Lepisosteus oculatus: one gene and its partner. The protein of the gene in region 1 purifies or fractionates together with the protein of each later gene. This does not show direct contact. Links are inferred from orthologs where the notes say so. Each region holds a gene or a part of one and is shown in the gene's direction. Other genes may lie near its edges.

What was found. The genes of interacting proteins can lie anywhere in the genome.
Region 2: the proteins of mepcea (region 1) and heterogeneous nuclear ribonucleoprotein U-like protein 2 purify together in Homo sapiens (affinity purification with mass spectrometry; 3 studies listed by BioGRID and IntAct, with this or other methods). This does not show direct contact. The link is inferred for Lepisosteus oculatus from reciprocal best matches to the Homo sapiens genes MEPCE and HNRNPUL2.

Annotation. Positions count from the first base shown.
Region 1 is NC_090698.1:10,420,748-10,428,703, forward strand, and holds the start of mepcea (7SK snRNA methylphosphate capping enzyme), read left to right. Parts: upstream 1-4,926; 5' UTR 4,927-5,010; intron 5,011-5,039; exon of another isoform or gene 5,040-5,590; intron 5,591-6,203; exon of another isoform or gene 6,204-6,347; intron 6,348-6,432; coding exon of another isoform or gene 6,433-6,477; coding exon 6,478-7,956. Other genes in the region: zinc finger CW-type PWWP domain protein 1-like, read right to left, coding at 971-1,795. UniProt on the Homo sapiens protein: S-adenosyl-L-methionine-dependent methyltransferase that adds a methylphosphate cap at the 5'-end of 7SK snRNA (7SK RNA), leading to stabilize it.
Region 2 is NC_090713.1:23,278,168-23,285,884, reverse strand, and holds the start of heterogeneous nuclear ribonucleoprotein U-like protein 2, read left to right. Parts: upstream 1-4,624; 5' UTR 4,625-4,787; coding exon 4,788-5,691; intron 5,692-5,840; coding exon 5,841-5,937; intron 5,938-6,021; coding exon 6,022-6,098; intron 6,099-6,466; coding exon 6,467-6,606; intron 6,607-6,697; coding exon 6,698-6,797; intron 6,798-6,896; coding exon 6,897-7,009; intron 7,010-7,092; coding exon 7,093-7,356; intron 7,357-7,565; coding exon 7,566-7,688; intron 7,689-7,717. Other genes in the region: ttc9c (tetratricopeptide repeat protein 9C), read right to left, coding at 1-47, 648-659; transmembrane protein 179, read left to right, coding at 1,504-1,805, 1,945-2,082, 2,419-2,497, 2,809-3,009.

The DNA of each region.
Region 1 (7,956 bases):
CCACACTCCTCTCTCACCCCCTCTCTAACCCACACTCTTCTCTCACCCCCACACTCCTCTCTCACCCCCTCTCTAACCCACACTCTTCTCTCACCCCCACACTCCTCCTTCACCCCCTCTCTAACCCACACTCCTCTCTCACCCCCTCTCTAACCCACACTCTTCTCTCACCCCCACACTCCTCCTTCACCCCCTCTCTAACCCACACTCCTCTCTCACCCCCTCTCTAACCCACACTCTTCTCTCACCCCCACACTCCTCTCTCACCCCCTCTCTAACCCACACTCCTCTCTCACCCCCTCTCTAACCCACACTCTTCTCTCACCCCCACACTCCTCTCTCACCCCGTCTCTAACCCACACTCCTCTCTCACCCACCCTCCTTCACCCCCTCTCTAACCCACACTCCTCTCTCACCCCCTCTCTAACCCACACTCTTCTCTCACCCCCACACTCCTCTCTCACCCCGTCTCTAACCCACACTCCTCTCTCACCCCCACACTCCTCTCTCACCCCCTCTCTAACCCACACTCCTCTCTCACCCGCTCTCTAACCCACACTCCTCTCTCACCCCGTCTCTAACCCACACTCCTCTCTCACCCCACCCTCCCTCACCCCCTCTCTAACCCACACTCCTCTCTCACCCCCTCTCTAACCCACACTCTTCTCTCACCCCCACACTCCTCTCTCACCCCCTCTCTAACCCACACTCCTCTCACCCCCTCTCTAACCCACACTCTTCTCTCACCCCCACACTCCTCTCTCACCCCGTCTCTAACCCACACTCCTCTCTCACCCCACCCTCCCTCACCCCCTCTCTAACCCACACTCCTCTCTCACCCCCACACTCCCCTCTCACCCCGTCTCTAACCCACACTCCTCTCTCACCCACCCTCCTTCACCCCCTCTCTAACCCACACTCCTCTCTCACCCCCTCTCTAACCCACACTCTTCTCTCACCCCTCTGTTACCTTGCTGTTTTTTGGGGTCCCTGCCCTCTCTTCCCCTGTTGTCCTCCAGACAGGTAGGCCTCTAGGTTTCTCCTCAGGCTCCTGGTCTGACTCCCCAGTTTTCATCTTTGGTTTCTTCTTGTCGCTTTTGGGCCGGTCTCCCTCCTTTGCTCCCTCTTTCAGGACAGAGCCCGTCCCTCCGGGCAGTGGCCTGTCTCCGCGCTGGCCGCCCACTCTGTCCTTCTTCCTCCCGCTCGGCTCTGCGGCTCCCGCTCTCTTGCCTCCGGGCTGCAATCCCGCCCAGCCCTTTCCACCCGTGCAGCCTGCCAGGCTCTCCTTTATCCCAGCTGGGCCTGGCCGCGCAGTGCCCTCCTCCTCTTCCCCCCGGAGGGTCTTCTCCTCCCACCCCTCTCCCCTTCCCGAACCTCCACCGGGGCCTACAGCCTTCCCCTTCCTCCTTCTCTCCCCCCCTGTCCTCCCAGGCCCCAGGAGCTCCCTTGCCTGGCCCTCCAGCCCCGGCACCCTCAGGCTCCGCTCCTCGGGCCTCTTGCCGCCCGCAGCCGCTGACCTGCTCTTCCCCGTCCGAGGAATCGGCCCCTTTCCCAACACCTCCGTGGATTCCTCTCCTGCGCTTCTCCCTGCTCCGATTCCCCGTCCCGGGCTCTCCTCGCCGGCCTTCCGACATGGCCTTCCTCTCGACCCCGCCGCCTTTTCCCTCTCCCTCACTCCTGCTCCCCTCTCCTCCTGCGGCCCTTTCCCCTGTCCGTCGCCCGGCCCACCCAGGGCGACTGGGGGAGCGAACTTTGGCTTCTTCATCTTCAGCTTCTCTGCACAACACAAAGACATACTGATGGGACATAAACTAGGGACACACACATCTGAAACGCTGTCGTGCTTAAATCCAAGAACGCCGGCTGGACAAGCTGCCGGAGGACTCGCTGTCAGATTTCAGGAATCACTCTTGAAGCACAGGAGGAAGGTGGCAGGCGAGAGCAGGCCTGTTGGCACATGTGCCAGGTTTGCTAGTTGGTAGCCAATCGATGCCAAGATCTTGTCCAGCTGTTTCATGAAAGGGCCCTGGATATCGGCTTTAGCAACACATCTGGACAGCTTGATCCACACTCCCACCACCCTTTGTGCAAAGGGTACACACACAGACACTCACACCAGCGCCAGTGTTCCCAGAAGTCAATGAACCTGCCAGCATGGCTTTGGACTGTGGGAGGAAACCCACGCAAACACAGGGAGAACACGCAAACTCCACACAGATAGCAGCCTGGGCCCCAGTGCTACTGGGCTTCAGCGCTAACCACTGCACCACTGTCGCCTTATTTGAGAAAACACAGTAGGTGAGTTCATCAAGACACACTCTCAGGACTCACCCACACCCAAATACACTCTCAAGATTCACACACACACCCCAGACATACTCTCATGACTCACACACAACCCAGACACACTATCAAGACTCACACACACCCACAGACAGACTCTCAAGGACTCACACACTCTTAAGTAACACATTCACGCTTGCAGTCTCACATACACAACCTTGGTCTCAGACACGTGCAGGTCTTTGAATTATGTATGTGTTTTACATAATTTACCCACATTTACTTTAGGGAGTCACTTGAGATTTGTAATAATTTGGTTTTTGAAAGGTTCTCAACCAGGTTTCCAATATTATTAAACCTCAATGTACAATATTTGGTGGTGGGTCTCATATAAACATTGTTAAAACGTACTGTCAATTTCCTTCCAGACCAGACACCCGAAAAAGGAAAGATTTAAATAATTAAAGCCCCAATTGTCTATGTAATTCACATCGAAGACAGATTGACGATCTGTATGTTAAATTGCAGTCAAATGTAATCGAATCACATTTTCTGTACGGTGGATAGAAACTGTTGTTTCTTTTACTGAAAACAATGACTTCGGATTTATGAAGTGTATTCATTTACTTGCGATCTCATCCATTTCTTTACATTTTAAAAGAAAACTAAAGAACCAATGGCGATAAGGTTTGTACATTGGTTGGGAAAAGCGACTGAAAGTAACATGTTATCCGTTCAAAGAGGGGTATCACATCTTTAAAATAAAAACTCGGGAAAATGTGAACAGAACACAAGCAAATGTAGAATAAATTCATAAAAAAGTCATTGGTCCCAAGTAACACCGGTCGCGGGTACCGTGACGGAAATCCCACAGCTGGACCGGGCCTTGCCTACCCAGGCTGGAACAAGATTAAAAGAGAAAAAACGCTCCTTTTTTTACCTTTTCCTTCGTCCATTCTCCACAAAACCGCCAGGTTTCTGTCTTAACAAGTAAAACTCGGAGATGGAGAACACAAAGCTGAACAAAATTCGTCACAAGTTTTAGAGCCGTTTTTTAGGGGCAGCGAGGCGAGGACTGGCGCGGGCAACGGGGTAGGTCTCGCGCGCCTTGCCGCCCTCCGAGCACGCTGGGCCGAGGGCGGTCTCGAGCCAGATCTAAGATCTAACACAATACGGAATAATACATTGTGTAAAAACACTCTACAAAAGAGCGGTTATATCATGTATGCAAGGGATCAAAAAAATGCCACAGTCCTCGGCTCCTCAGCACTACGGTTACTCGTTCACTTGCCCTCGCCAACGGAGTCAGTGTAGTTGAAATAGCAGGCGAGTGGCACGTTTACATGGAAATACTAGCATTTATTTCAATGTTATTTCTTTGCACGTAGGCCTGACGTCTGAGGGTTATTACTGTACTCTGTTATCGTTGTAAAGAAAGAATATCACAAAGCGGGAGAAAATATACAAGAAATGCTGTTCCAGCTGTTAACGATGTATCATGACGTCAGAAGAGCGCCAGAACGACGACTAAACCACGTTAATCTGTAATGAATTTACCTCAACGAGTGGTGTTTGTGGACACATTCTTACCAGTTATCTTTATGGATGCTGCCAACTGGCCTATTCTTATTTACCTGTTCTGCCTCCTCGGATTTTATCCAGCACTGGCTGACAACCGGTTCGCTGGTTTCCCGACTCCTGTGCTTCGCGTGTTGCGACAGGATTTGTGCACTCCGGGCGCCTGTGTGTTCAAGGAACGCGATGGAAACGGAGGTCAGTAGCAGCAACACATCACAGTAACTCACTGCTGGTGTTCGCGGGGCTGTGGAAGGGGGTTATGTGCCGCACCTGGTTAAAAATCTCCGCCGAACCGGGATTAATGGACAAGGGAGGCCGAAACTGCGACAGACCACAGGCCACTCGATTTATTGTGTACGTTGCCTGGGTGGTGCGAGGGGCGCTTACTCCTGGTTAACGCTTCGTGGGAACGTGTGCGCCGTTCGGGCGACACGGGGGCCTGGAGGCGTGAAGTCGGTCCAGCCCGGGCCCGCGGGTGGGAACATCACACGAGAGAGGACTGACCTCTGTCACTCAGCCGGCACCTGTGCGCAGGGGACAGTTCTAAAACGCTCCACTGCGGGTGGCTTTATTGTAATAAAATGAAGTGGAGGAGTGAATAACGTTGTATCGAACGAAGGGGGGGGGGGCGGCTGGATTTTGCAAGCATCTAGTCGTGTAGATGCCGCTGCGTGAACCACGGGGTCACTGAACAACGTTAGTTCTTCACGGTGAATTCGCTGTGGTGAGCTTTGTAACTCGAAGACGGTCATCAGAGGGTAAAAGACTGACGTGCTTAAGAAGACGTCAGTGGAAAGAGGTGCGTTTATAACACGCCTTGCGCTTCACTGTGCGCGTTTAGGAAGAAGCTCTCCAGTCGCGAAACCGTCTGGAGTGGACTGTCGCGACTGGGAAAACTACATGTCCCAGAATCCTCCACGGAAGGCTCGAGGACCTGCCTCACGTGCTGTCGCAGGCAAGCGCCGAGTGCTGGGGGGGAGGGGAAGCGGTGGAAGGGGGAGGGGGCGGGGACCGCGTTTTAACCGCTACGACTTTCTTTCTCGAAGACACATCACACTATTCAGCGTGCGAGCATTTTATCGTCCTTTGTGTGGGTGCGGCTGTGCCGGAGAAAGAGCGAGATTCGTTCCGGCGGCAGTGAAACACCAGGTTGTTTACACGGGTTGGGGTGGCCGCGGCGGTTTCCTGTCTGAACAGGGAGAAAAAGTGCTGTCGGTTGTAATTAAAAAAAAACAGGCCAACGCTGAAAGTCAGCCGAGACGCAGTGAAATTATTTTCATTTGTTTTTCGCATATTAGGGCGTTGGTTTATAAAAATAGCGTCCAGCCCTTGTGGGAAATGTATTTTTGTCAGGCACTGTACTAGAGACCTACAGGGAAAAGGGGGGAGGAAGAGACGAGGTTAGTCGTTACGCCTCTCCCCCCGTTCCTTCCTATTGGTCAGACGAAGAAAGGCGGGGAGGTATTTCCTCCTCTGATTGGCTGGCGTGGCTGCCGGTCTTTTTTTCCTGGGCTACACGAGAGACATATAAAGCTCGAGGAGACGCCAAAACGCAGCGCGAGATCCAGCAGCTCGAGCTAGTCTCGCTGATTAGAGCCGCGAGAGGGGGGTCCAGCGAGAGAGAGCTCACTGACACTCACACACACACTGACTGCGAGTTCAAACAAAAAAATTGTTTTTTTGTTTTTTAAATAATTCAGTTCAGACGAAAACTGATTTCTTGGAGGGGGTGGGTCTTGCAGATTTCATACTTTTTGATTTCGTGTGGTACTTTTAATGTATAAATATATATTTAAGAAAAAACAAAACTTGCGGGCACGATCCAGAAAAAAAAATGTCTCTCGCCAAGTCAGTTGTTGGGTGGATTTAATTTTTCCGATTGACTTACTAAAAAAACTCGGGGGAGGGAAAGTTGGGGGTGCAGCTTCAGCAAACGGGAAGGCGGAGAATACGGCGACCAGGCTGCGTGTATGTGTGTATCTGTGTCTCCGTGTGTGTGTGTATGTGTGCGCTTTTTTTCTTGCCTCCATAGAGCTCCTATGTCTCATGAATTATTCATGAGCGCGGGGGGACGTTTGGCGACGCGGGGGCGTGGCTATGCAAATCTCTTCCTCGCTGCCGGGAGGGGGCGGGAGCACGCAGGGGCACGCACGGGAGAGGGTGGGCTGACGCTGCCGGACGAATAGACAACGTTTTTTTTTTCCTGCTTTGCTGCTACCACAAAGCACATGGACAAGAGACTCGGCAGCTCATTCGCAAAGCCAAGCAGCTCCTAGTGCCGAGGACTAAAAAAACAAAAGAAAGACGTTTGTCAGCCGCTGAAGGAATTCTGTTTTCTGCAGGGACGGGCTGCTTGGCTGCCTGGTTTCTGTGAAACACGTCTTTGTCGGGGAAAGTGTGCTGGTGCTCTCAAGGCCAGAGGAGGCTGGGGGGGGAGTTGTTGTAGAGGTGAGAGGGGCTAGAGCGATCGTCGGGCGGCCTATGAGGTGAGCGGGATGGGAGGGGTGGGAGACGCGGTGCTCCCCGCCGCCGTGCCGCGCTGACTCTCGCCCCCCTGTGTCTGCTCCGCAGGTCCATGCGCAGTGCCGCCGGCGTCGCCCCGGGGCCCAGCAGGAGATGATCGAGATGTCGGTGGACAAGGAGCCGGCCGGGCTGGGCGCCAGCGGGCCCCAGGACCAGCCCCAGCGCCGCGCGCAGCCGGAGGGGGAGTGCGCCGGCGACCGCAGCAGCGCCCCCCGCCCGCAGGGGGGCGCCGCCGCCCAAGCGGGCACGGAGCCGGCGGAGCAGCCGGGCCGGGATTGCGGCGCCGCCAGGCCCAAGAACGGGCTCCAGCAGCAGCAGCAGCAGCAGCAGCAGCAGCAGAAGGCCTTCAAGCGCAGGAACAGCGTGAACGTGGGGTTCAAGCACCCCGGCTTCAGCAAGAGGCGGCGGCGCGCCAACTCGGAGAGCGACCCCGTGCTGCCCACCAACTTCCTCCTGGGGGGCAACATCTTCGACCCCCTGAACCTCAACAGCCTGCTGGACGAGGAGGTGAACCGCGCGCTGAACGCCGAGACGCCCAAGTCCTCCCCGCTGCCCGCCAAGAGCCGCGACCCGGTGGAGATCCTGATCCCCAAGGACATCACCGACCCGCTCAACCTGAACTGCGCCGGCGGAGAGACCGGCCTGCTGGTGTCGCCCATGAAGACGGGCGGCGGGGGCCGCAAGCGGCACCGGCACCGGCACCACGGCGGAGGCGGCGGCGGCGGCGGCGGCGGGGGGGGCGTCTCCACGCAGCCGGACCCCGCCGAGCCGGGCCGGGCGGGCGCCCTGCGCGAGGGCCGGGGCGCCGGGGCGGCGCTGTCCTCCTCCGTGCCCGGGAGCGCGGTCCCGCAGGCCCCCGCCGAGGGCGCCGCGCCCGGGGCCGGCCTCACGCCCGTGCCGGAGTCCCCGCGGCCCTACGAGCTCAACACCTCCATCAACTGCCGCGACGAGGTGGTGCAGCCCATCCTGCCGCCCAGCGCGGCCGACCCCTCCTCCTGCGCCTCGGCCCCCCCGGGCTCGGCGGCGCCGCCCTCCTGCCCGGCGAGGCACCGCAAGCGCCGGCGCACGTCCAGCAAGTCCGACTCCTCCTCGGCCGCCGCCGGGCCGGGCCCCGCCGCGGGCGGCCGCAAGGTCACCCCGGAGAAGGGGCGGGCGGCCCGGCAGCAAGCCCAAACCTTCCAGACCCCCGTGGGCGGGGGCGCCGGCGGGATGGGGGCGCCGGGCAGCGCCGCCTCGGCCTCGTGCGCCCGCGGGGGCGCCGGGACGCACCGGCGGCGCCGCCAGCAGCAGCAGCAGCAGCAGCAGCGCAAGTTCCAGTACGGAAACTACAACAAGTACTACGGCTACCGCAACCCTGGCTGGAGCGAGGACCCGCGCGTCAGGGTGCTGCGGCCCGAGTGGTTCCGGGGCAAGGCCGTGCTGGACCTGGGCTGCAACACGGGCCACCTGACGCTGACCCTCGCCAAGAACTGGCAGCCGGCCCGCGTCACCGGCCTGGACATCGACGGCGCGCTGGTGCACGCCGCGCGGCAGAACGTCCGGCACTACCTGTCCGAGCTGGCGGCCGAGGAG
Region 2 (7,717 bases), on another chromosome or scaffold:
GACCCCGCCCCCTCGGGGCCAAGCTCCGCCCCCCATCCAGCTGCACCCTGGGTGAAATACAAACAGCGGATTCAGGCGTGCGCAGGCTGCAGAGGAACAGGTAAAGGTTGATTTCTGTATCTATTTCAATACTCCGTCTCCTTTTTTGTATTTCTGGTGTTTAAATAAAAACATTTAAAAAGAAGTAAAGGTTGATTCCCTGCTGAAAAGAGAAGAAAGGAGACAACGTTTTGGCTGTCGAGCCCGTGTTCACACCCCAAGAAGGCTCCACTGCTGAAACGTTGCGTTTCCTTTCTTCTCTTTTCAGCATGGGTTTAAAGTTCTGTGCCAAAACACATTTCATCTCTCCTCTGCTCAGGTGCTGCAGTTCCCCCCACTGTGCAAAGATATATCAACTGGGTTAACTGGCATCTCCCAGCTGCCCAGCCGGACTGAGCCCCGAGTCTGTCTCCCGCTGGAGGAGCAGAGGAGGGGAATTCCTGCACTGCAGGCGGGTCGGGAGTCGCACGGGACTGTCCCACAGCAAGTATCCCACGGGCCGACGGTGCGAGTCTCGGCTCACGAGCGACTTTCACCTGTACCCTCCCCCTCAGTCCTGCCGTTAACCGCCCCGACTCCTGCTCCCTCGTCTGCCCGCAGTCCTTTACCTCTTCGGCCATGAACACCCCCTCGCCGCGCCCGCTGGACTCGCCGGCTGTGGAGCAGAGCAGCACAAGAGCTCGCCGCCGGAGCGCTCCCCCAGGCGAGTCTGCCAGTGAGAGGCTGCTTCCGCCCTCACCGCGGCGCGACCCGGAAGTCCTTGACGCCACCAGGAAGTTGGGCAAAGAAGGAGGGAGCCCCCCACCCCCGGGTCACGTGGCGGTAAGGGTTTATTTACATCCTGAACAACACTGGAATTACGAGTTATTTTTTCCCCAATGAGGGGTGATTTAACCACTTGGCAGTTTCCATGTACTGTTTCTGCGCCGGAATTGTGATTAATCGCGTAAGGAGGCTGAAGGGCTTGTGTCCGAAATGTGTCTGGGAGGGTTCACGGTATTCAAATGATTCTTTCACCAAGCGAATATCCATTCGCAGCAGCATGTCCCTATTTATGAATATGTATTTTTCCTTTCTATCCCTACTTCTGAAATCCCCTCCAAAAAAAAACAACTGCTGTATATTTCTTACTGTCAATTAATGTTTCTATACCACTTGCGCCCATCTCGAAACCGCCTGCGTCTTTATTTCATCTTGATGTGTGAACGTGTGCGTCCCAGCCGCCCTGCCTTGTTCTTCACACCACAGTCTTCCTCCCGCACTTCCCAGCCCGGTTCTTTCACGCTCTCTCTAGTCTGTGGGACTCAACACCGCTGCTCTCCGCACCCCCCACGCAGAAGGCTCGGCCTCGCCCCCGTGCACGTCGGCAGCGCGCATGACGTCAGCCGCGGCTCGGGATCCGCCCCGGCGTTTCCAGAACCGTCTCCGGGTTCCCCTCGCCAGCCGAGCCGGGCCGGGCACGCCATGGCGCCGCAGCGCCGGCTCCTCCTGGCGCACGGCGCCGCCTACGCCCTGTCCGTGCTGGGCGGCCTCCTGACGGTGGTGCCGCTGGCGCTGAACGGCTCGCACTTCAAGGGCCGGTGCCTGCTCTTCAGCCGGGGCCACTGGCGGCCGGAGGGCGGCCTCGGGGCGCCCCGGCTGCAGGTGCTGGAGTGGGGGCCGCCGGCCGCCTGCCAGCTGCCCGCCTTCGTGGGGGTGTTCACGGTGCTGTTCGGGGCCGTGCAGAGCTGGCGGAGCATCTTCTACCTGCACCGCGGGCACGACGAGTAAGTGGGGGCGGCGGGGTGCCCCGAGCTGCGCGCGGCTGCGGTACCTACAGAATGTTCATCCGCGAGCACTGGAGGCGCAGAGAGGAGGTTTAACTGCCGGGGGTCCAGCGCTGATTCTCTCTCTCTCTCTCTCCAGCACGCCGCTGTGCTCGGCTCTGACGCTGCTGCTCAGTGCCAGCCTGCTCCTTCTGTCTCTGGGCTCCAGCGTCACGCTCAGCCTGGGCTTCCAGTCCTGGTGCGACACCGTCACCGGCCAGCAGGCGGCGCCCTTCAGGTACACAGCTTCGATGCTCGGGTGCAGCGACACTGATCTGAGACACACACACCGATTCTCTGAGACACTCAGCGTGGGCACTGGGGTCAGAGAAGGGTTGGGGTGACCCAGAGACCGATCCCAGCGCACCGGTCTGGGTTAAAGTTTCACCTTTAACCTTTCACCTCCTGGGACGAGGCAGCTCCCAGTTTAGTTCGGACCCTGAGCAGCACTGCACAGGCCCACCGGACAGCACCAGGTCTTGGTCCGGTCCACCCCGATCCACCCACAGTCTTCCGAAATGTTTCAGCCTGTTTCTCACTCTGACCTCCTGCTGACCTCTCTCTCCCTCTCCAGCTGTGCAGAGGCCCAGGCCACCCCCCTGTACCTGGACGTGGACACAACAGCCTTCTACAGCGAGCTCACCTGGGCACAGGTAACACTGGACACCTGTACCGTCCTGTCAGTGTGTGTGTATGAACCCCTCTCTCTCTCAGTGCAGTGTTCATGTACTGGAGTGTCCAGTCAGTGTGTCTGTATGAACCCCTCTCTCTCTCAGTGCAGTGTTCATGTACTGGAGTGTCCAGTCAGTGTGTCTGTATTAACCCCTCTCTCTCTTAGTGCAGTGTTAATGTACTGGAGTGTCCAGTCAGTGTGTCTGTATTAACCCCTCTCTCTCTTAGTGCAGTGTTAATGTACTGGAGTGTCCAGTCAGTGTCTGTATGAACCCCTCTCTCTCTGTCCCAGGCTGGCCTGTGGGGAGTGTCCGTGCTGTGGCTGGCCCTCTCTGTGCTGTCTTTCCTGAGGCTGTATTGCTCCCACAGGAGGGAGGTACTAGGGCCCTGCCTGGCCAGGGAGAAGGAGCTCCTGCTGGGACTTGGCTGTGACCCTCAACCTATGACCTCTCACCCCTGCACACATGAACACCCCGCTGGGCACTTTATCTGACCTCCACACATACGCACATAAACTGCACTGACCCCACTGGACACCTCAGGACAGTGTGGCCCCCAGCACTGACCCCACTGGACACCTCAGGGCAGGCACTCATGTACTTCTGACACAGAAATCATGCAGTTGTAGTAGAGCCACACACACACACACACACACACAGGGTGACCGCACTCGTACCCGCGCAGGAAACACACATGGCCGCTGGGACAGCACCCCCCGGAGGGTGGAGCTCGCCTGCCGCGGTCCGGATGACAGAGTCTGTGGCGACGCCAGCGCCGGGAGAAGTTCTCCTCGCCTCCTCAAGGGGGCGCCGGCAGGCTCGCAGCTCTCCGCCAGGGCCGCACCCGGAGGAGTCGGAGCGACGTCCGATCGGAAGGACGGAGCACGAGGGGGTCCAGTCCCTGTCTGGGGGGACCCCCCTGCTCTGAAGAGCGCCGCCTGAGGACACCCCCTTCCTCCAGGGTGCCCGGGGCTGACTGGGCTGCTGTGACCCCAGATTCCAGAGCGAGGACCCCAGGGGTGAGCAGTGACCCCTCCGGGGTGGGGCGCTGTGTTCCTGCACAGAGTGTTATTTTTCCAGGACCTGCGCGTCTGGCTGGAAGCGTGGTGGTGGTGGTTGTTGTTGGTGTTTTTTTTTAAAACAAAATTAATAAAGCTGAATTTTAACTTTGATTTTGCTTGTCCATCTTCTGACGCCGTCAGCTTGTCCCACACCCCCACCCCCCACTGTGTACAGACGTGCCAGGGGCTCGTACCTGGAGCCCAGTGCCCCTGGGGGAGGGATACAGATCGTTGGCTTCTGGGACGTCCCACGCGGGCTGGGTGAAGAGACCTTGGGGTCCCCTGTGTTTCTGCCTGGGGGGCGCCCCAACACTCGCTGCTCAACAGCACAGACAGCGGGAGAGATTCGGGGTGTCTAAACACCAGAGGACCTTGGGGTGTCGCTGGAGAGATCCCTGCCAGTCCGACCCCTGCTGCCTCACTGCCTGCATGGCCTTGGGGTCACTGCTCTGGCCAGGGGGTCACTCCGCTGGGCACGGGGTCACTGCTCTGGCCAGGGGTCACTCCGCTGGGCATGGGGTCACTGCTCTGAGCCTCTCCAGTAGGGATGCTGGGGACCCCATAATGAAAAGAGTCACTTGGGGTGGCTGGTATGCTTTTAATACTGCAATTCGCAGTATTTGCAGCGTACTTGTAAGATAATAAAATGATAAATTTGTTTATGTTGATGAAGCTAACAGTTGTTTTCCTGCTTCGTTTTGATCAAGTGGCCATTTTGACAGACGTCACTTCCCTAGTTTCTCGACTGAAACCTTCTCAGTGTCCAATGGGTTTCTTTTTATTCCTAATCAGAAGCTTTCCGCTTACAGCCAATAGAAAAAAAGCCCAGGCCTAACCCCTTCGTGTTGCTAGGTAAAAATGCGGGCCAGTGTACCACACTCGATTTTAAAAGGAGGGTTTAAAAATCAACCGTCCAATCCAAAAAAGCGACATAACGGTGCATCGAGTGCCCAATCGGCTGCGAGAGTTGAAGCCAGTGGGCGGGGTGACGGTCTCCTCTACCAATCAGAAAATTTATGTTCCCATGCGTCGTTGCTAGGTAAAACTCACGTAGGCTGGCCAGTCCCCGTTTCTTCCTTTCGTCAGGTGACGCTGTATTTACAAACTGTAACGGGATCTGATAGCGGGCAATATATTTTTTAAAAATTAGGGGGAGACGGGATAATTTTTTTTTTTAACCAGAAAAAGGGAGGACAGACACTGAAGTGGAAATGAGCGCGCTGGACGTGAAGAAGCTGAAAGTGGCCGAGTTACGGACCGAGCTGCAGCAGCGCGGCCTGGACACTCGAGGGCTGAAGGCCGACCTGGTGGAGCGGCTGCTGGCCGCCATCGAGGCCGAGACGGCGGGGGCGGCGCCAGGAGAGGCCGGGGATGTCGGGCCTACGGAGGTGGACGCCGGGGAGCCCCAGGAGGCCCCAGGAGGGGAGACCGAGGCGGTTGAATTGACGGCGGGGGACCAGCAGAGTATCGCTGGGGTGGAGGAGGAGGAGGAAGAAGAGGAGGAGGAGGAGGAAGTCGCCCAGGCGACGGAGGCAGAGTCGGCGAGGCCGGAGCCTCTGGAGGCCCTCGGCCCGAGCGATGCCGGGCCCCAGCCGCCCGAGCAGGCACCCAGAGAGGCAGAGACGCCCGTCGAAGCTGCTCCCCCGACGGTGGACGTACAGCCGGACCCGAAGCCGCTCTCCGAAGCAGAAGAGGCTGTCAGCCCGGCCCAGGCGTCGCCTGCCCCTTCCCCGCAGAGGCCCGCGGCCCAGGAGCCCCAGCCGATCGAGGCGCCGGGGGAGCAGACAGCCAGGCCTGGAGACGCACGGCCACAGCAGCCCGAAGGCCCATCCGCGGAACAGGACACCCAGGCCTCCCCGCCGGGCGCCGAGCCGGGGGCTGGAGTAACCGGCTCGCCGGTGAGGAACGCCCAGTCGCCGGCCAGAGCCAAGGAGACGCCGGCCGCGAGCAGCGAGGCGGCCGCCGCCACACCAGCCCCGGCCTCCACGGGCAGCGCAGCGCAGGGGGACGGGGTGAACGGGCAGCCTCAGGGCCGGCCGGGGGCCGCCGAGGGAGGCAGCGAGGAGTCCGGCTCGGAGATGGAGGCGGACGGGGAGCCGACCGGCGAGGGGACGGGTGAGGAGCCGCCGTGGAGCTGCGTGTGCAGCCTGACAGGGCCGGAGGGGGGCTGGCGGAGCCCGGGTGTGCAGCAGTCTGATCCGCTCCGGGTCTGCGGGCCCCGTGTCGGGTCTCTGCCGCGCTGACTTGTCTCCCTCTCCCGGCAGGGGCGGCGGCCGAGGGCGAGCGCCGGGGGGTGAAGCGGCCGCACGGCGAGAGGGGCCGGGGCTACTACGAGTTCAAGGAGGAGATCAACTACAACAGGTAGGTCGCGGGGCCGGGGGACTAAGGGGCCCGGGGGGCGCAGAGACACGCGTGTTCCTGACTGTGTCTGTGTCCGCGCTGCAGGGCCAAGTCTCCAGACCCGGAGCCGGAGCTGGGTGAGGAAGAGGAGGTGGACGAAGGACAAGTGCGCCTGGATTCCTGTGAGTCAGCTGGCCGTCCTCTGACACGCACACTGTGACTCGGGGTCACGCTCTCCTGGGGGCTCTGTGACTCGGGGTCACTGTGCCTCGGGGGCTCTCTTGGGGGTCACTGTACCTCTGGGGCTCTCTTGGGGGTCACTGTGACTCAGGGTCATGCTCTCCTGGGGGTCACTGTGCCTCTGGAGCTCTCCTGGGGGTCACTGTGACTCAGGGTCATGCTCTCCTGGGGGTCACTGTGCCTCTGGAGCTCTCCTGGGGGTCACTGTGACTCAGGGTCATGCTCTCCCGGGGGTCACTCTACCTCGGGGGCTCTCCTGGGGGCGTGTGTGTGTTGTGTAACGGCAGCCCCCCCTGTCTCTCTCCCCCAGACAACAGCGACCTGCACTTCGAGGTGGGGAAGGGCGCGCTGGGCGGGCAGCCCCTCTTCTCCGAGCGGTTCCCCTTCCTGTGGTCGGGCTGCAGGGTCACCCACGGCGTCGCGCAGGGGCAGGTCGGGTTCGAGGCCAAGGTGGGTGCGCTCGTCCGTCCTGCGCTGAGAGAGAGGCGCACGCACTCACACACGCACACACACTGACGCGCGCTGTCCGCCCGTCCTGCAGTTCGTCAGGAAGCTGTCGGACAAGGAGCTGCAGCCCGACGACCCGGAGGTGCCGGTGCTGAGAGTCGGCTGGTCGGTGGACGGGTCCAGCTTCCAGCTGGGTGAGTATCTGCCCCCGAGCGCGTCCCTGCTAACTGCCCCCCTTCTGCTAACTGCCCCGGCCCACGCGTGACCTCTCCCCTGCTCCCCGCCCCCCGCAGGAGAGGACGACCTGTCCTACGGGTATGACGGACGGGGCAAGAAGGTGACGGGGGGCCAGGCGGAAGACTTCGGGGAGCCCTTTGCGGAGAACGACGTGATCGGCTGCTTCGCGGTGAGTCGGGGGGGCCGTCCCCGGGAGGGGTGTCTCGCCGCCCGCCCCGGGTGCCGAGCTGACCCGCGGCCCTCTCTCCCCAGAGCTTCTCGGACGAGGAGGTGGAGCTGTCCTTCCAGAAGAACGGCTGCCCGCTGGGCGTGGCGTTCCGCGTGGGCCGCGGGCCCCTGGCCGGCCGCGCGCTCTTCCCCCACGTGCTCTGCCGCAACTGCGCCGTGGCGCTGCACCTGGGCCAGGAGGAGGCGCCCTGGCACCCCGGCCCCGCCGGCTTCGCCCTGCTGCACTCCCTGCCCCCCGAGCAGCGCGTGCGCGCGCCCGTGGCGCCCCGGACCAAGGAGGAGTGCGAGGTGGGTGGGCGTCCGCGCCGTCGGCCGCAGAGCGCGACCCTCGCGAGACCCGTCCCCCTGGCGACGAACGGGGGTCGTGACCCTCTGTGGCTGAGCTCAGGGGAGGCACAGAAGGCGAAGGTCGTGGGAGGGTTTTGTGGGCCCGAACCTCTAAAGTTCGGGGTTCACAGTGACCCCTGACCGCTGTGTGTGTGTGTGTGTCTTGCCAGGTTATTCTGATGGTGGGCATGCCTGGTGCCGGGAAGACCCACTGGGCCCGGAACCACATGGCCCAGAACCCAGAGAAGCGCTACAACCTGCTGGGGACCCGGACCGTGCTGGACTGCATGAGGGTGAGCCCCAGGGCGAGTCCGGGGGGGGG